Linked DNA regions of Astyanax mexicanus. The protein of the gene in region 1 interacts with the protein of each later gene in a pairwise test. Links are inferred from orthologs where the notes say so. Each region holds a gene or a part of one and is shown on either strand. Other genes may lie near its edges.

Region 1 (10,324 bases):
TTGTGTGTAAATAAAAACAGCAATAATTAGCTAACGGACAAGAAATAATTATTATTTGTGAGCATGTGAGTGCACTGAATGAAAATAGGAGTATTAGTCCTCAGCTTAATGTTAATAACCTAAGCTGAAACATGTATGTTTCTGGAAACAATAGCATTTGTCATCTTTAGGCTTAATATAGCAATATGGCTCAACACCACCAGTCCACAGTTTGAAAATCTCAGTTTTAAACCCTTTTTTTTATTCTTTGTCATTATTAATTGAAAAAAAAAAATAACAGTTTGACACCTTTTTTTTTTTTTTTTTTTTAAATCACAGCAGGCCCCAAACCAACACAAGGCTCTCATTCTCACGCATATGAAGCATCATCTTATGGCCAAGACTGGAGAGGGCAGGCTCACTTAACCACAGATGGATATAGACAACCGGATTTTCCAAACAATGTTTTTGGGAAGCCATCTCAATTTCATGGGAATGACCAGAATGATCGTCCCAGAGGTGATGCAGCTCTATGGCAAGCTTATCCAAACACTGACCGACCTGAAAATGCATATTATCAAGATGGCAGACCAAGACCTTATCAAAATGAAGGCTACAAAGAAAAATTACCATATCTTGAAGGAGATGGTAGTGTAAGGTCTTTTGTAGAGGGTGATGGTAGTGGAAGACACCATCTAGACAAGGCAATTCCAGGGAGCTCTTATCGCAATGAGCATCAGGATCAGTACTACCCAGAAATGGATCCCAGAAGAGGGTGGAACTCGAGTGGAGTTGTACAGCAGGATCTCTATCATGGCGGTGTTCCAAGAAGCAGGTTTGCTGACACAGACAGGAGTGGTCCAGCTCAGCACCCAGAAGAAATGGTCGGACAGGTTCGTGGTCAGATGTACGCGTCACGTGATGGAAGAGGACATAGTATGGAGGAGATGCAAAGACCTGGCAGAAGCTTTCAGAATATGGAGAAAGGAACAGACTATCTCCAAACTATGATAAGAGAAGCAAGAGCTGGAACCTATGAGATGCAGGAATATGCCAAAAGGGGTGGTATGGGAGATTATGCTCAGGAACATGTCCCACACAAAAAGAAAAGGGAGAGTAGATTTTCTGATGCCACACCAAAGGAGGTTGAGCTTGCACAGAGGAGGTAATGTCTATTTCCAATTGATGGCAATCTATCAAAGAATGGAGCATGTTTTAAAGAAGAAATCCAGTGTGAAATCAACTTGTAGAGGTGAAAATGGTGTAGTAAAATATGATAAGTGTAAACTTTTGTGGAGTAGCCCACCTCCATTCACCCCCAGCATTCTGAAATACAGCACTTTTAGCCGATGCTCCCAACAGGCTTACAGTGCTGGTGATGGGGGCATAGCATTGCCCATGCAAAGACATCGCCACTTTTTTTAATAAACTTTTTTATTTTCTTTGTTAATGGTGTGAAAATAGCCGTTTCTTTGCACCTGTCACCAGCATTGTAAGCCTGTTGGGAGTATTTGCAAAAAGTGTTGCATTTCAGAATGCTGCGGGTGATCAGAGGTGGGCTGTGTGACAAAAGTTTCTACTCATCATATTTTACTATACCTCCATTTACACATGATTTTTACATAATTTAACAAACTTCATATTTTTTTTTAATATGTAAAGTTATATGTGCTAGTTTTGTATCTTTTATGATTCACTTTGATAACCCTTGTACTTAAGATTTCCAATGTATATATATTTTTTTCAGGTTTAAAGAAGGCACATTTCCACCCATGAATCAAAGTAGAGGCCCAGTTCAGGTGTGTTTAATGGAAAGTTGTCACTGCTCCAAGCATGTGTACTCACTAGATCATTGTGCGTGCGTGCGTTGAACATCTATTAATGAGATTTCTTGCCATCACGTTCTTGTGATTAGATTACAGGCAAGGTTTGCATCTTATGACTCGTCCATTAAAGTACTGCATAAACAACACTTTGCTAAACTTTGTTGTAAATACTCAACAGTAATGTAGACGTTCTGACTGTCTGTTGGTATTTAACATTATTTGATCCACCGGGTCACTTGTGTTGCTTATGTGGCAGAAGTCATATTAACTTCTGCCCAGTGACATTTGGCATGTTGGTTTGTTGTTTTTTATGTTTTGTTGGCCTCAGATGCTCTAACAACTACAAGTACAAAATGACAAAAGTCATTTGGCCAAAGGTCCTTAAGTGTATTTGTTTTTTTTTTTTTTGGTCCTAATATCATATCAAAAATGTCTATACAGGTATTTGAAGAAAGAAGGGCTTTAGATTCGATGCACACTGCTGTGAACTCGGAAAATGTTTTGGACGTGCTGGTAAGTGTAGACGATTAAACAAATAATTACTGTCATTGTTTTGTGTTTTTACTTTTTTTTTTTTTTTTAAGGATGGGGTCCAAATTGACAGTGCAGAAGAGGCTAACTTCTTGAAGCAAAAGTTGTGCGATGTTCTGAAGCAGTTTCATGCGAATAAATCTCAGCGTTCTGAGGTTTGAACTGGATCCTTGTCTTTTCACTACTCTAAAATAAGGTTTATCTTATAAATTCTAAATCTTTTTTTCCACTCCTCAAACACATCCCAGGTCTCTCCAAGTGACAGAGAGTACAGGAGTGACGTATGGATGGATCAGCGGAGGAACGCGCAGGAGATAAGAGAGTCCGCAAGATATGACCGTGATCTTAGAAATTTAACAAATGATTCCACGGGCGTTAAAGAGACATGGCCATGGCCAGAGAAAAATACCAGAGATGTTCAGGACCCAAGATATGTTGAAGACCAGAGACCTGATACAAGATATGAAAATCGTTCTACAGATTTTCAAGAATCAAGACCTTATGCAGACTCTCAATCAGATTTCCCACAGGCAAGAAGGTTCAAGGACAATCCCAGAGATTTTCAACACGGTGGCCAATTTGGAGAAAATCGTATGGCTTTTCAACAGGAAAGAGGGTTATGTGACAACTCCAGGGATGTTCAGCAAGCGGGACATTTTGAAGATCATTTTTCAGCATACCGGCAGGCCAGCAGTTTTAAAGAGAGCTCAAGAGCAGGACATGTCGAAGAGGACCCCAGAATCTTTCAGAGCATGAGACACACCGGGGGTACTGAAGAAAACAGAAGTTACGAACAACAATTTGAAGGAGCAGTATTGGGAAGACATGGCGATCGTGACTTCAGACGCGTTGATGCTCAGCATGAATTTGAATGGGGTGCACAAAGAAATAGATCGACTGGTCGGTCTGATGAGTTCAAGGATTATCATCCAGATGCTGAAAGAAAAGCTTATCAAGGTAGGCTGATGAGCAGTTCTAGTTTCTTCTAGTTCGATGTCTGTTTAGAATATTTTATACTTTGCGTATATTTATTGTCTAAATCTTAGAAGAAATAAAGGGTCGAAAAGAAAATTTAAAAGCTGATCAAATCCCAATTTTGTTTCACACTTATCTTTTCAGAGGGCCATTGGAAAACCAGGTCGCTCAGAGAAGATCAGGCATATGGCGAGAACCAAGCGCATATGCCTCATTACCACGTAGATCCAAGTACAGAACTCTACGATCCATTTCATCCATCATCGTCTCCACCACCAGCACCACCCCCCTCCAGTCTGGAAAAGCTGGCTTCCACTCTCTTGGAGCTTGTGTCACGAAACTGAATCTGAAAGGATTCCTAAGTGTAATGTACATAGATTTGTATTTGCTTATTTTGTGTAACGGTTAATTATAAATGTGTCATGTCTATTAGAAATGAATAACAGACATAGTTCTTTTCTGTTCTGATTGGATTGTATATTGCATTTGTAGTTGTTTTGATCTTTTTGAATTGTTGGCTGAATCTAAAAGAGAATTGTTGTTGCAGAAAATACCAGAAAAAATAAATTTTTGTTCCTAAAATCCTTCTGTCTCTTTCCTTAATTCCTCATGTCAATTTTCTTTCTGGCCGAGTTGTTCAGTGTTAACATTGGGGGGGAAAATGCAGACTTTCTGACTCCTAATAATGAGTATGAAAATAATTATCCCATAAGAGCCCAGACCCAGTTTTGAATATTGATTCAAAATAATTGGATCAGTTATATTGAGCAGCCCATTAATGATTCTTCTGATCGTGATCAAGGTCACAAAACTTCTGTAAATCTTTTAAGGTTTAAATCCCAAAGCAACACATCACAATGACAATTTCACAACATGTTTCATCATTTTGTTCAGCTTTGTAAATTGGCTTTTGGTAAATGGGGTCAGATGCACACATTCACAAACTGCCCTGCTACACACCCAGGATGTTTACATGCGTCACTTGAGGATTTCATAAGTTTGACTGAGGGACCAAGTACTGTAAAAAAAAAAAAAAAAAAACGCTTTCCGAAAGGACTGAGACACATTACTGGGAGGAGTTTTAGTTGTTGAATGAGCCATGGAGAAATGAATGTGTTCAAACTTATCTAACATGGTTTAAACCACCAGATTTGCAGTGACAGCAAAAAAAGGACACCTACTACTGCAGGACACAGCGTAGCTGAAGCTGAAAACATAAAAGGAGGAAGTAGATGCCGGTCGAAAGAAAATGTATTTTTATGTACCATTACTGAGACCATATTACCTTTTTTTACTTCATGTTTTTTCACTTGTTGACTGTACATGTCAAAATGCAGGAAGGTAGATCTCCATAATGAGTACTGATAGCCAGTACTTTAAAATAATTGGTGTCCACATTTCACCATATAATGTATTTAAGGATTTTGGAGCACACTGTTGTCTTTCCCATAAATCTGCTATTTTAATAAATAATGCTAAGTGATTCTGTCCCTCATCTTTTGTCCCCAGCCTCGTACCCTGGGTCATGCTTGATTATACGGTTTAGCTTGGGCAGTTTGATCATGCATCAACTGAACTTGTAGACCAGCTAAACCATCAAACTTCTACCCAGGCTGTTTTGTTTTTTTTGGTAGGGAAACCATGTTTGCATGAAAAACCATTAAATTGGTAAAGAAAATCAATCGAGTACATCTAGTGAAGTTTTTTTGAACATTCACTTTAGGCATATACATCTTTATTACTATTACTACTAAATATGCATTAACATTTGACTATCAAAAATAAAGCTGCACAACAGGGTGGATTGTAATAAAAATGTGGATGATCATTGGAATTCACCATTTGAAATCACCAATAGAGTTCATGGTGACATTGTTCAGTTTCAAATATACATTTTAATTTCCTTATAATTTACAATGACAGGGTAGAAAGCATTAGCTTTGCCTCAGCTATATATGTTTGTAAAAATTAATGAATATCACATTAAATTAACATTATAAATTGCTGAATATGCAGGAAGGGTCTTTCATCCCTTAAAAAAAGACAACAATCCACAGTAATTTACTGGTAATTCACAAAACTTGGTTGAGATTTGGGGAAGCTGCTTTTAGCTATTATGGCCCAAACCTTTGGAACGCAAAGCCATTTCATCTTTACACATTTTTAAAAAGAGTATTAAAACATTTTTATTTAAATTAGCATTTTCATGTGTATATTTTTTTTGTGTAAAGCACTTTGGGTTGCACTTGTGTATGAAAAGTACTGTATAAATAAAGATTATAATTATTATTTATTATAATTATTTTTTTATTATTGTGTAAATATGCACAGTTGAAATGAGCGGGCTGCTCTCGCCGAGCCAATCGTAACGGCGGAGGGCGGGGCTTGCCGGAATACAGGTGGACTGCGCGCTTTACAGGTGGGTTTCTGTTTTGAACGTCACGGTAAACGTAACACTTATTCCGGTTTGAAAAGAAGTTGTCAAAGCGTCGGCCATCTTGGCTCCTGTATCACCCTGAATTAAATTAAAATAGCGCTGAAGAGGACTGACTACAGGACTACAGGACTGCTGTACGGGTTCATCACCGAGAGTGAGTACAACAGCGGGACGCGACGCGCCGCTCCGGCTCGGTTTTAATGGCGGGTTGGGGTTAGATTAGGCGGAGGTCATGAGAGAGCCCTCGGCCAATGAACGGCCTCATCCAATGATTGTTTTGGAGGATGAACATGGGCGCCATTTCCCTCCTCGCTCTCTGAGGCGCTTATTGGTGGCTAGTGGAGAGGAATGGAGGCGGTCGGGAAACTGGCGGCCACTATCCGCCATATTGGCTCCGGGCTCCGCTGCGGCCGGTTGAACGCGGGCTTTGTGTTGAGCCCGAATGGCGTTGGTTTTCAACTCGCCAGCCCTTAGAAAGCTTGATTGGTGGAATCTAGTCCGGGGTTTGATTGGTCTGAAGGACAGATCCAAACGTAGTCTTTATTGGTTAGTATGTCTTTACAGCGCTTTACAAATATTTTAAGACACTTTAGCGTGGGGCTGCTGGATGTGTGACTGGACGCATCGCTCCGCTTTTAGTCCACAAACAAGATACTCGCGGCCTGCTGATAATAGCGAGCATTGTCTCCAAACTTTCACCAGCTCCTGTTTAAAACGCACATTAACACGCTGTCCGCCGGCGTTCATAAGGCTAGTGATCATACTGGCTTACAGTAACTACACTGTGTTACTGCTGAGCCAGAAGCCGCGCTGCCATTCACTTTCATTACAGGGTTATATTTATTAAACGATTTCTAGCTAACATAGTTTAGCTTAGATTGGTGTTAGCAGGCTAACGCTAATGGTCATGTGGGTTTGTGTTACGGCGAGCACAAATATTACATATTTGGTTATAGCATCACTTTACACTGTTTAAAAAAAACAACATAAAACAAAAAAACATGCAAATACTCCATCAAACAGGCTGTAAGAACTTTAATTTTCGTGCTTTCCCGCGGTAAACATTTGTTTGTACATAGCTTGCTAACTTATTAACTAGCTAGTTAATGTCTGTGCCAAAATAGCTAGCGTTAGCTAGTGATAGGTTAGTAGTTAACTAACCATATATATAAGTTATATATTTATAATATGTAGCCTTAGCTAGTTAACCCTCTATGAAGGAAAACTGTGGATATTAGTTATCAAATGACAGACTGATCATTGGGATCAAAGCTATAGGTACTTTTGAGCAGCATAACAGATGTCATATCGTAACGTGAGCAAAAATATTTCAAAAATACCCTGATATATAGTCGTATATTTTAGCACCATATGGACCATCAGGGTAAAACAATTGCTCTTTGTAGCAAAAGGAAAATTCACACTTCTAATTTCCCATTAAGTACCTGCTAGAGACAGATTCTATTTGTACAGTATTATTTATTTTACTTCATTTCTGGATATATGGAGTGCATTGTTAGTATCGTGACATTATTGATGATCTGCAGTAAATCTCAGTTAGGACTTTGGTTCATTAAATCTGCCATATGCCACATGCAATAAAATCAAACATTTCCAAAGTTACTATAACATATAAATCAAGTCTTGCTTGGTCTCAGAAAGTAGGGTTTATTCAGGGGCACTGTGTTTGTGTTCAAGTTACTGGTTACAGTAACTGTGTACTCTAATTTCCAAAAAAACTGGAATCACCACAAGATACAAGAAGTTTTTGACCTTTCATTTTCTGGCTCTACTGCCCAAACCTTCAGTACTTCTTCTCCTGACAGCTCTCAGTCTAACTCACATTCACAGTTCTGAATAAAATCATTTCACCTTACTCATCTCTGTGCTTACTAAGTATGGAGCCTGTGGTTCACTACAGAGTACATTAAATAAATGCTGATTTTTCAAATAGTTAACATTGCTGTGCATGTCTAAAAAAACAATGAAATTAACTACCTGTGACAAAAATGTAACATCTGCACAAAATGTAATCACTTTTCCTTTTATTGCACTAAAAGTATTCAGAAGATTCAGGCTAGTTTTGGATCTCCCACAAAGTAATGCCAATCTTTTCAATGATAAAATATAGAGGTTATATTATGCATAATCCTTTTAATTGCACCACAAATTAGATTACTTTACATGGTTCATATGGTCATGAAAAACCTGGAAAAGTAATGGAATGGCAATTTTCAGTCCTGGATAAGTTTTGGAAAAATAAAAAAAGAAAATGGAAAAGTCATGGAAATTTGATCTACAAATCTTTTTGTTTCCATTTGTCAGCAGAGAAAATCTATTTTGAGCTACAAATACATCAGCTCGAAGTTAATTCAGTAATTTAGTCTGATCCATTTTTAGGCCTACTATAAATATATTATATCATATAATATTATATTATAGGTTTAGTTGATTTTTGGTTTTATTGTCCATGTCTGCACTCATGTTTTAAAAATTGTATGGTCATGGAAATTTGCCTTAAATTAGGAATATAAGGAGCCTCCTTCACATACTTTATGTATGATAATATCGGTGTAAACGGACTCTGCAGAATGTAATAACGATAACTAGTGATGCTGTACAGCTCCAGTAGGCATATTTGGGGATATGATTTGTCATGGTGCTCGTCACCTTAATCCAGAATAATCAGATGCAATTAAAACAAGCTCTTCAGCCCAGCCTCCAAGCCAGGACTTTACTTAATGGAAAGCCTTTGTAATTTACTACAAAGGATTATGTACTTCCTGATCTCATTTATCTAGTAAACTCTACTTAGCCTATTTGCAGTGAATTAATTCCAGTCGTAGCATGTTGGGCATTATATTGCTTTCTCATGGATATAAAACCAGCTGAACAGTCTGTGCTGAGTGACACAGTGCATTTAATATTTCAGCCGCTGTTTCTAACCACATTACCCAAAGACAGTGAATGTTGCTGTAACACAGGAAGTGAGGTCCTCTGTGGCAGTTGAATGGCATGCCTGGAAACCATGACTCTCATGATAGTGCACCTTGATCTGACTTGGTCATAACCTGTTAAGATGTCTGTTAAAACTTTTGTAATGCTTACTTTTGTAAGCCTTATCCAGGGCGCAGTTGCAGACATACTGTTTAATTTTTAAAACCAGTGACTGGTGTAAAGGGAGGTTTTGCACTCAAATCATCTACAGAGCTTTTTTAGGAAATAGGCTACCTTTTTTGTTAGTTATCCTGTTTAACCCAGTGTTGCGCAGTTATGTGAGATATATCCAGCTCAGTTTGAGGTTAATTAGGTCCCATTTCACTCAGCTGCATTTTTTTATGGATTATTTAGTAAACAGCTTCCCACATATCCATCCACCTTTGCTGTTCACACAGCAAATTTCCCAGCACAGTCACGGTTGTTCCTAGTGATGTTTGATATACCAGACCACTGTTTAAACTTTCAAAACTCGTCTGGCTAGTCTGTGTTCTTATATAATTGCTTATATTTGATCAAGTTGCAGGTAAGATTTTAGTTTTTAATGATTACCCTAATGTTTTTTGCTGGTTATTGGTGGTCATATATACATTTTTGTTTTATATCACATCGTGACCATGAACTGCTGATTCTTATTATTTGCACTATACTTACCACAAGCTGGAAATGCATATTGTCTTTTTGTGGGCATTGATTTTATTTTCATTTTCAGAACTTTTCTTTAGACAGTTGCTTAGAGGAGTCCATATTGTGTAAAAAATAAACCATTAGAAGCTTTGTAATTCATTTAGCTGGGAGTTTGTTACAGTAGGTTACATTGCATATGGTGGTTTATACATGCATTTTGTAGCTGCAGACATGCTTATTTTTCGCAGGCATACTTCACTCATTTTCAAAGGATGTGCATCAAAGCAATGCAAGCACCAGAGTACCAATTCTGCCCTCCTATGGAAAAATGACTAATTTAAACTATGCATTTATAGATGTGTTGATGTGCATTTTAAAAAATGCATTTAGTTGTATGTATTTATTTATCGAGATGAGAGAATTTGGGAAAAATGGTTTTCTTAACGCCCTACATATTTAAGTTTGGTTAGGTACACAGAAGAGCTACTACAAGAATCAGTGATGGCCAGATCTTATTTATTAAATTAATTGCATACATGGATAACTTGTCTCATATTTGTAAGCTACTCATAACGCTGCATTTTGGGCTAAGCATAACAAGCATGAGGGAGAAATCTAGTCACTGCCCTCAGCAGGGGTCGTGATGGTGTTGCAGGTAGCAGTGAGAGAATGCAGCCATGGCATTTTGGCCAGCTGTTCCATAATCTCCTGTGCCTTGCTGCTATGTAATCATTTACCAGTGTACTGTGTGTCCAAAACGCTTGAAATCAGTAATGCTTCGCCTCAGTCAAGCTCGTTGGTGACCTGCTCTTTCACTCTGCTTTTTTTTTTTTCTTGTACATTTTGATCCTGTAGAACACAACCTCTGTTCGTACCCTCCATCTCTGCCCCCTCCCCCATCTCTCCCTGAATATGCAGGTCTGTGTGTGTTCCATCCTGCTGTTTAGTTTCT
Region 2 (11,076 bases), on another chromosome or scaffold:
GAACTAGTATTTCAAATACTAGAACTTATTCTAGCATTTCTATCAAATATTGTCAGCAATTTCCTAACTGATGCATCCTTGTTTTTAAAGGCAGAGCAAGAGCACACCAAGGAACTCTAACTGCTTCCTTAATGTGTTCTTGTGTACTGAAATGTGACCTGGGCTGTGGAAAATGATGTCAGGCCAGAACATGTCGCTTGTAAATATTGAGTATGGTAAAAATGTCTTTTAATATTGTGATAGATATATCGTTTTTTTTTGTTTTGTTTTTTTTTTTTTTTTTTTTGCTGTTACTGGCCATTGTAATACATGCATATGCAGTATTGACATAACAGCAACTTATTTAAAGTGACAGAGGTGAGAAACAGAGATGAACTCTGGGCAGATGTCAATATACATTTATAACTTACAGAGAGACTACAAAACCTGGTATATAACTTTATAACTTTTAAGGTAGTTTTTATTTATTTTTATTAGTTTTAATCAATGGATTTTTCCATTTTAAAGTAGTGAGGCCAGTGTCGGCCAATTGTTCTAGTGGGGACAGAATAACTTTGTCCTTTTTCAGCATACTATACATAAATGAGCAAGTTTCTGTTTGAAATATTGGCCATACTAATGACTCTAAAGGTAAAATTATTGGCAGATATTGATATAATTCTGCTATCACTCTGCATCCATAGTGAAAATTGCATAGTGTGTAATTGTACTGAGGATGTTAAAAAAAAGTACTTTTTTTTTAATGATTGTGGTGTAGTTTTATTTCAGAATTAATGCATCTGGTGATTTTAGTGAGGATTCTGCTGAGCTCCTTTTTATCTTTGAGCTCTCTTCAGTTTTAATTCTGTGTTTATTTGGTTTAGAGATGTGTAAATGAACAGATGAAGTCTGTTTGCAGAGTTTGCCTTTCTGATCTCTCCATGTTCGCAGTGGCTCTTGTTTCAGTGCCATTAGCAGCACCATGGTTGCTCAGGTAATCAGTAAAAGCTGTTGTTGCCAACAAAAAAAAAGAGGCCAGAGGACCTACCAGACTAATTTGATTTTAGAATAAATATACAGTATGTGGCGCACTGATGTATATGTTTACTATAAGATGTGCCCTACTACTTTCAATTTAGAAGGAAAAATCTTTTACTTCTAGTGAGGAAATACATTTTTAAGTATTGGAATGCAACTTGGGCCATAGAAAATGATGCCAGGTAGGAACACAAGGACGCTAAAACACTTAAGAACACATGTTAAGGAACGTTGACTGTGTATCTTGTCATCTATTCGCATTCGACAGATGCATCTTTCTCAGTTCCGCCCTTCAACTAAGTTAATATATTTTAATTTTTAATCCTTTCCAATTTGGTCAGGCCTGCCTTCATGGCGGGCTAAGCCAAATCTGTGTTGAAAGGTAATTAGAGGAGGAGGAGGAGGAGGAGGAGGAAGGAGGGAAGAGGAGGAGGAGGAGGGGTAGAAAAACGTTGCACTGAGAGAGGCATTCAGTATAAACCCCATTAGTGGAGGCTCTTAGGGACAAGCAATACCTTAGTGCTGATTAAATCTAAAAGCAGATGAATCAGAGGGGCCGGACAGAAAGGGACTGCTCCTGATAAATAAGATCGGACCATCGTCAAGTTTCATTCCGGCTACAGAGGAAGGGGAGATTTGAAGGTGGGTGAGGAAGAGGATGAGGAGGAGGAGGAAGGGGGGAGGCTTTTAACTTAAATGGGCTAACTCAAGCAATTACACGGCCGTGCAGCTCGAGCACGAAATATAGCGTTCGCCAGAGAAGATAAGCGGCATGGTGACCGCAGACCTCTCTGATGTTAAACATCTGTATAAATAACAGACACTGCTTTCATTCAGCTGACTAAATTGAATAATTTCTGATAAATATATATGAATATATTATACTCCTACAATATAACTTAAATAACACTAAGCATCACTATCACAGCACTAACCATGTGCTGTTAAACATAACTGTTTACTGTTTAATGTTCAATATCCATAATATCCCCCCAGGCTACTTGTACTACCATGTTTAGAACTATATGATCATAATACATAGTACTCATATTACATATTTATTGGTAATTTGCTATTAAATCACATTTTTTTGCTATTAAAGTAAGATCATGTGCTGTGTGCTGTTTACTATATGTGCAATATCCCATAATAGTCCCATTCAACACGTGTAGCACACTCTGTTCACTCTGTTTTCTATGTCATTTTGTAAAATAACACTAAACACTTACTGTTTACTTATGTACAATACTTCTATCACTGTCCAATCAGGTGCTGTATAACTGTGTACTGTTCACCATGTGCAGCACTCACTATCTGGTCACTCTGTTTACTATGCATGCTATGTCCAATATCACATCTTTTTAATGTTAATCTGCTATTTATTTATTGTTAACTTAAGTCAATTATAAATGAGCACTGTCTACAACAGCACAAACTATATACTGGGAAAACATGTTTTCTCTAATCTACATCTACGTACAACATAAAGTTTTACTATGTACTATTTACTCACTGTCCATCCATTTGTTGTAGAACTGTGTACTGTTTACTATATGCTATATCTCCCCATTCACCATGTGTAGCACACTCTATTCACTTTGTTCAATTTCATTAAGAGAGATATTATAACTTATTTACTTATTTTTTGCTTTTAATAATTTGCTTATTCATCACTGTTTACTGTTTAACACAACATATACACTATGGGGGACAATGTTTCCTCCAGTTCTATAAGGTTTTTCAATACAGCTCTTTACTATTTACTATTAACGCTTTATTTTTATCACTGTCCAACCAGGTGCAGGATAACTGCATACTGTTTACTATATATGCAACATCCTATAATAGTATCCCATTGATTCACCATGTGTAGCACAATCTGTTTAATCTGTTAACTAGTCTATGTCATCATGTGCACGAGTAATACTAATGTCTAGTATATTTTTGAACATATTTTCCATCTGTTCTGTCCTCTACACTGCTGTAATATTGCAATACACCAATTCCCCCACTGTGGTTTGGATTAATAAAGGATGATCTTATCTTATATTTCTTATAAACCTTATTATAAGTAATACCTGTTCATTACAGTAGTATACCTTTGACATTAAAAAAAGTGCAATTCTAGAGCTATAGTTAAACTGTGTGTACTTTTTTTTACATGCATTACAGAGTGTGTAATTACTGTACTGTGGTTTAACATGAAAAGTATGTAGCAACATTTGATTAAAACAAATCATTTTAAAGTGCTGTGTGTATAGGAGGGTATTTGGATGGACGTTTTAAAATGTGTTACTAACAGCACAACTATTGAACTATATTTTGTACAAAATACTGTATAAAAACATATATTGTATGATAAAACAAGTGACAGACTTGACTTTTTGTGAATATTAGTTGACATTATTGCAGTCTTTGCCATGCTATTTAAACTAGGGCTACACAATATATCATACACATATTCACATAACTTCTGCATCCTTTTTTTTGCTGTTTGATACAAAAAAGATATTTTAAATGACATATCTATAACAAACTATTAGTTATCAAAAGTAGATTACATCAATATTGATTTCACTCAAATCTTCAATACACAGAGCATTATTAGATTATCAATATTGTGACATGTTGGATCGTTAATTTTTTAGATTTTATTTATTTATTTATTTTTCAAAAAAAAAATTCATATCGTGATATATATCGCAGGAAAAAATATCGCAATGCACCTTTTTTTTTCTTCAGTATCGTGCATCCTTATTGTAATGAGCTTATTCCTAATTAATGCGCACGTTTACTAGGTTAGCTATGCAGCTGTACCTGAGGAAGTAAACCACCCTTAATAAAAGCTTAATAAACAAATATAAGCATTACATTATTCTGACAATAGTAAGATGTAGATTTTTCTAAGTTAAAAAGGGTGTAAGTTTAAAAGTTGGACTAGTTTTACACCATTAAAAACCCGAACTCACCTCTTTTACAGCCGAGTAAATTCGTTTTCAAGCGTCTAAATGACTGTAGCTTTCTTTCTGTGTCCCGTGGGGGGTCAAGAAACAGTTCAAAAACTGGTAAAAAATGTCAAATTAACAAAATATTTCAAAAAACACCAAAACAAATCGTCCATAAAGCTCAGCGGCTCTGCATGAGGAGGTATCCGGGCAGTGGTGAGCTCTCTGGCGGGCTGGAGAATCAGCTACAGCGCTGCTCAGCTCCGGATCCGCTTCAGCAAATGGAGTTTACAGATTATATTTCCACCGGTTCCGACCCGTCCCTCGCCTCCTCCCGCCGTCTCCCTGTCTCTCCCGAACCCGACACCGCTCGTACTCTCGCTCAGCTCGGTCTCTCGTTCAGCTCTCGGTAATTTCCCTCAGGCTGTGGCCGGTGTGAGAGCTCTGAAACGCGGTGTGAGGCTCGTAATCTCCGCCGCTGCTCCTCGTGTCTCTGTCTCTGTCTCTCTCTCTCCGCGCTGCTCGCTGCGCTGCTCTACATGTGTCAGTGACTGAGAAAAAATACAAATAATAAAAAAACACACAGGCTCCGCCCACATTGCAGCACGTCAATCTGTAGCAGCCAATCGTGCGGAGCTCCGTTCCGGGGGATGAACAAATCCGGCCAATCAGAGCAGCGCAATACAGCACATTGAGTTCTGAGTGAAGGAGGTGAGCTGCAGTTTAATTTTTCTACTTTTATATTTTCCATCGTTTAATCAAACCTTTGTAGACACAGCTCTGATACATAGATGTATTGCGTTCCAACATTTAACCAAACGTTTTTGGACTCCCAACATTTAACCAGAAGTTTCTGTACACTGTTCTATTGGACAAAACTTTTTGCAATATTTTTGGACTCCAACGTTCAGCCAAATGTTTGAAGACTAACTACTAATAGCCACATGTATTTAAATGTTTTGGGTCAAAACATTTAGCCAAATGTCTGAAGACTTACTACTATTAGCCAAATTATTTTAAATGTTTTTTTTTTTTTTTTTTTTTTTTTGTTGAAACATTTAGCCAAATGTTTGAAACCTTACTACAATTAGCCAAAATGTATTTAAATGTGTTTGGGTTAAAACAGTTAGCTAAATGTGTGTGGATTCCATGGAATTTGGTGGAGTTGCATTCCACCACATGTTTCTGAACTCCCTATATTTTTGGACTTGAACATTTAGCCAAACGTTTTTAGACACACTGATCAGTTAAGACAAGTATTTTTACAATGTTCTTGGATACCAACATATAGCAAAACATTTTTAGACAAAGCGCTGTTAGACAAGTATTTTTGCAATGTACTTGGATATAAACATTTAGCCAAATGTTTTTAGACAAAGCTCTATTAGACAAGCGTTTTTGTAATATTCCTGGATACCAACATTTAGCCAAACATTTTCAGGCACAGCCCTATTAGAAATTTTTTTAGAAGTTTTTTTTTTGACAAACATTTAGCAAAATGTTTGAAGACTAAGCCAAATATATTTAAATGTTTTGGGACTAAAACATTTAGCTTAATGTTTGTAGGCACTGCTGTATTTATCAAATATATGCGTTGCACCATCTACCATATTTTCATGTTTTGGATACAGTTCCATTAGCCAAATAAAGTTGCTTTCCAACATTTAACCATATGTAGCAGCAACACCTTCACAACCAACCCCTATATCAGAGCAACACTGCTGACCTGCATATATATATATATATATATATATATATATATATATATATATATATATATATATATATATATATATATATATATATATATATATATATATATATATATATTTTGGTAGCTGTAGATGTAGCTGAGAGCACAGGAACTTTTCAGGCTGTGAGTTTGATGCTGCTGTGACTGACTGTCCAACACAAAGCCATTTTTCAGCACCTGCTCTTACACAGTGGCGCCATCATCTGGACATAAATGGAACTATACCACTAAAAACACAACTGAATACATTAAACGTCAATATTTAATGCTGATAATTGATTACTCATCTCTGCTGGTGTAAAGTTTGGGGACTACATTAGTCTAAGGGGCAATGGAAGCTTATATTCCTATAGCAGGAGGTGAAGAGAAGAACCTACTAGAAAATAAAGGTGTTGTCACTATAGCATAATGAAGAGAATTCTGTAGAACTGCAACAAAACTGCAACAGAACACCAACAGAAAAAAAAAAAAAAAAAAAAAAATATATATATATATATATATATATATATATATATATATATATATATATATATATATATATATTTAAAATGTAAATAATGAACTCAACAAATACAAGATCTCTTCATTAAGATTCCTTATTCTTCATTAGAGTAGTTTTTACTGCTAGAATCCCTTTTCAGGCATCAGCTATGTCAATAAATCATCAATAGTAATAATAATAGTTCTATTAATTCATTCTGACTAGACATATATAAATCAAACGAATTTTAGAAAATTAAAATGTGTCTTTGAAACAGATACAAGGCTACTGTATACAATTTAACATGTCTTCAACTGTAAATCAACCATGTTTTCATTAAATAATAAAAAATAAAAAAAATAATAATAATAATCCACCCTGTTATTGTCCACCTTGGGCGCATGCATTGCGGGAAATAAAAAGTGGTTGAGCTATAAAAAATGAGATTTCTGTGTTGCCTTTTAATTATGATTATAGTGTAGCAAATTAAAATCTTACTTTATTATTTGTGTGTTTTGAAGGCTAGAAGACACCCTTGATAACAAAAACCACACACTGAGCACGAGTTGCACTGGCAGAGATCCGAATTTGAATCTGGGCTCTATTCTGGCCCAAATGCTCGGCTCACATCTGGGCTCACCTGAGCCGCAAATGCGAACTCTCTGGTTGTAGAGTATAGTACGACAATCGACTCAAGCCACACCTCTTCGGTTAAAGAGTCCACTTTTTTCCAGTTCGTCAGTTGTCGAGTATAATATGGGAATTGGCTCAAATCACTTAGTCCATCACCCCGGTTGTTGAGTATAATATAACTGTCACACAGGAAAGTTAAACAAAAGCAAAACACAAAACAAACACCAGTAATGCAAGATACACAAAACAGGTATCTAAACTGGGAAACTAAATAACTAAGACCAGAACAAAAACTAATCAAAACTTAGAAAACAATAATACTCAAATCAAAAACAAACCTGACGCATACATACAAGTACAGCAAAAAACACTAAGACAAAGGGGCTTAAATGCACTAGGAGGGTAAGGAACACCTGGAACCAGTAAACGAGGGGGCGGGGTTACAAACAAGACACAAGGTGGCAACACTAATGGCTAGGGAAAGGCTAGGGCGAAGACAGGACAATAACACAACATGGCCATGTGCTTAAAAAAGCACATGGCTGGGAACACAAGACAGGAAAACAGAGGGCAGAAGCACATCGAACCAAAAGAGGAAAAAACACAAGACAGACACAGGCTAAGTTGTGTGACAATGATAAGTAGCCTAAACTGCCTGGGGCAAGTCTTCGGTTGTTGAGTACAATACGACAATCAGCCTGAGCCGTATGTGCCACCACTCTGGTTGCAGAGCAGGGGCGTTGCATGGGCAGCTAAAGACCCGGGGCTCAGCTCAGCCAATTATAAGATTTTTTTACATATATTTTTTAAGCATCCTGCATAATATGTAGTTTTTTTATATTTGATGGATTTAAAAGTGTGCTGTAATTCAGCATGGTTGATTGTTGCCGTCTTATTAAAAAACTTAGAAACAAGATGAAAAAACTGCATGTGGCAGAAAACGAAAATGACAAACTCTAAAAACATTTAAAAAACATCACTAGCTTTCACTTTTGCATAGAGTTTCCCCAGTTTTCCCAGCATTTTATTTAACAATGTAATTTACTTCTAATTTATATTAGCAATAATATAGTTACCTTTTACTGTTGCTTACTTAAAACCATAGCCCGGAAGCCCAGGGCAGGCGACGCCCCTGTTGCAGAGTATAATATGAGAATCCTCCCATTTCACTTTTGCCAACATCCTGGTTCGCAAGTGTAAACCACATTTGGCCTGAGCTGCAAGTGCCATCATCTCAATTCCACATAGACGATGCCAATAGTCGATGATACACTGCAAAAAATCCATTGGCAAAAACTATGTTAAGCAAAAAAAAAAAACTGCCAATGGGGTAAGCTAATTTTTCTTAGTTAGATTTATTATAACAAGCAATCAAGCAAAGTGTCAAAATAAATGAAGTAACACCTGAATCAAGAAAATATCACACTTTTTTGGCCTATATTTGGATACAAGAAACAGAATAACTTGACTGGTGACTTTGTTTGTGCTTATTTTAAGTTTAAACTACTTAAAATACACACTAAGAAAAGTAAGTACAGATTTGTACTTAAAAGAGTGAAAAGCTTGTCGCTGGGGCTGTACCTTATATTAAGGTACGAAAAAGTACCTTTCAGTGAAAGTCTTTTTTTGTTCCCATGTTTTTTGTGCCAGTAAAGATTATAAAGATTATAAACATTATCATCAACTAAATATGTGTCAAGAACTTCATGATGCAAAATTGTCTGGCTTTCAAATAAAAAAATGTGAAAATAAAATATATATTGTTTATTAGTAAAGTGGTACAGTATACTGAATGTACCTTTTGCCTGGTTAAATGGTACAAATTTGTACTTATTGCTGTTAGGAATTACTTTCTACTTCAGAGGGCACAAATCTGACCCTGTTAAGACCAATATTGTACCTTTGAGGGTACAATTATGAAGAGTGTACTTTTGAGTACAAAAAAGTACTCCTTTTGTACCTCTGTTTTGTGAGTCTGATTAAGATCATTATTCCTAAAATAAGCTGAATAATCTTACACTTACTATTCAATCTATACAATGATTAGTAAGACAAAAACTCTTATCAGAGAAAAAAGATGAATAAGATTTATTGCATTGAAATTTAATAATTTTACTTCCTAATATTTATTTTTTTAGATTTTTGCAGTATACAAAAGTCGAGCTCAGGCCGTTTCTTCATGCCATCTGGGAGAGTATTCTGATAATTAACTCTATACTGTATACTGTGTACTGTATACAAACGCATGAATCTGAGTTCAGACTTTGGTTCGGACTTCAGTGGTTGGCTCTGTAACTCTGTAAGTTGAATTGTGCTGAAATGTTTGTTTGAGTAGTTCAGAAGGTGAAAAGTGTCATGGCACTCTGAGACGGGGTTTCAGTGGGCAGTTAATCAGTTCGGGCGCAATTATGAGTTGCCTCTGGATTCATTAATAAGACGTACAGTGTGTAAAGAGTCTCCGGTAGGCCGTCTTAATGGTTTAATTGTGAGTGGTCGTGGTTGATTGCGGAGCGCGGTCTGATTTCCCTGCTGGAAGGGGAACTCTGTTCCATCCAGGATTAGGCGCCATTCTCTCCGGCTGGAACAATGAGCCAAAGATGGCAAAGAATGTATTTTCCACAAAGGAATAATTAATTTATCTCAACTATTAAAACTAGAGGGAAATTAGGGGACGAGTCTGAATGGGTGCCTCAAAGGAGAAGCTTTGTTTGTTCTTTGCCTGTTTTTAATGAGCTTTTCATAAATGGGCAAGAAAAATTACTTACTTCCCTTTTTCTGATTTTTTTTTTTTTTTTTTTATCATTGAAATATGATATTCAATATAGAATAAAAGAAAGGGGTATTGTAGGGATCCCTGCAGAAAACAGCCCCCCACCCCAATACGTGGCTATAGTAACTTGAAAAAGCACAACAATATAAACTCAAGTTAAATATTTACGGCCTGTGTGAAGTTAAACATATCAAACTCCATTGATTTCTGCTGGTGGAGGTTCGGCGATCCCTCAAAATGAAGTGTGTTCTTCAGAGAAACACATAAGTTTAATAACGTTACAATATTACACAGTATGACTTTGAATTAGGGCCCTAAAGCATTTTGGTACACATACGAGTTCATCCACTTTATAATATCACTGAATGATGTTAGGGTTGTGTTTCAATCATAGAGGCACAAAGTGTTTTTACAAACAATTTGGGACAGTAAAGAAAAAGCAAATTCCCCAAGATATTTAAGATGTTAAATGTGTTCAACTCAATTAAATTTACTGATTTACAGCAATTCCTGCATTTAAGGCCTACAACACGTTCCAAACACAAGCAATATCAAATAGAACAACATGAACAAAGAATGACACCAACAAGCTCTACTATAATACAGAGTTACTATATTCACTAATACCACTTACAACTTTACTGTACACAACACAAGCCTTATGTTCACCATGACCAGAAGAAGCTCCGCCCACTTCTCTACTACAATACAGAGTTACTATATTCACTAATACCACTTACAACTTTACTGTACACAACACAAGCCTTATGTTCACCATGTCCAGAAGCTCCGCCCACTTCTCTATTACAATACAGAGTTACTATATTCACTAATACCACTTACAACTTTTACTATACACAACACAAGCCTTATGTTCACCATGTCCAGAAGCCCTTCAGGTGTATTCCTGTCTGTGTTTGGTTTACTGATAAGTGAATGATCAGAAGACTTTATGTTTACTGCTCTGCTCTCCATGTTCACAGTTGGTTTAGGTAACCAGCAAAAGCTGTTATAGACAGCACTAAGTTAGCTAAGTTAAGTAAAGCTAAGACAAGACAAGTAAAACAAAACTGTAATTCTTAAAAAACATTTTTTTTTAACTCAAATGAGGTGTTAATCTACACACATTTCTCTTCTAAAAATTGTTTATTTGGGTGACTAAAGCGCTTCCATTTATTTACAGTAAACTGAGATTTCCAGATTTCCACTAAAGCTGCATGCAGCAGCATTTGCCATTAGCAGCTAACCGCTAGCGCAAGCGAAACATAAATGCAGCGCAACGTCGCTACACTAAAGAGCCCTGAGTGTTCTGGTAAGCCAGGGCGATATTAGCTTCGCTAATAGTTCATCCCATGTATCTTGTTTTAACATGGTAAAAACACAGGCTACAGTCTGATATACTCACCTCTGAAGGGAAAAAAGAGCTAGTGCTTAGTGTGGTTAGTGGCTAATGCTAATAATGCTCCAGCAGTGCTAG

What was found. The genes of interacting proteins can lie anywhere in the genome.
Region 2: the proteins of nfyc (region 1) and lmo4b interact in binary tests that used the Homo sapiens proteins (3 or more experiments, as listed by UniProt). The link is inferred for Astyanax mexicanus from reciprocal best matches to the Homo sapiens genes NFYC and LMO4.

What each region holds. Positions count from the first base shown.
Region 1 is NC_064410.1:49,640,787-49,651,110, forward strand, and holds the start of nfyc (nuclear transcription factor Y subunit gamma), read left to right. Parts: upstream 1-5,749; 5' UTR 5,750-5,902; intron 5,903-6,269; exon of another isoform or gene 6,270-6,294; intron 6,295-10,324. Other genes in the region: uncharacterized protein si:ch211-13c6.2, read left to right, coding at 319-1,144, 1,727-1,778, 2,247-2,318, 2,390-2,491, 2,585-3,293, 3,456-3,655. UniProt on the Homo sapiens protein: Component of the sequence-specific heterotrimeric transcription factor (NF-Y) which specifically recognizes a 5'-CCAAT-3' box motif found in the promoters of its target genes.
Region 2 is NC_064412.1:49,899,925-49,911,000, reverse strand, and holds the start of lmo4b (LIM domain transcription factor LMO4b), read right to left. Parts: upstream 4,505-11,076; 5' UTR 3,987-4,504; intron 1-3,986. UniProt on the Homo sapiens protein: Transcription cofactor. Plays a role in establishing motor neuron identity, in concert with MNX1, acting, at least in part, to disrupt LDB1-LHX3 complexes thereby negatively modulating interneuron genes in motor neurons.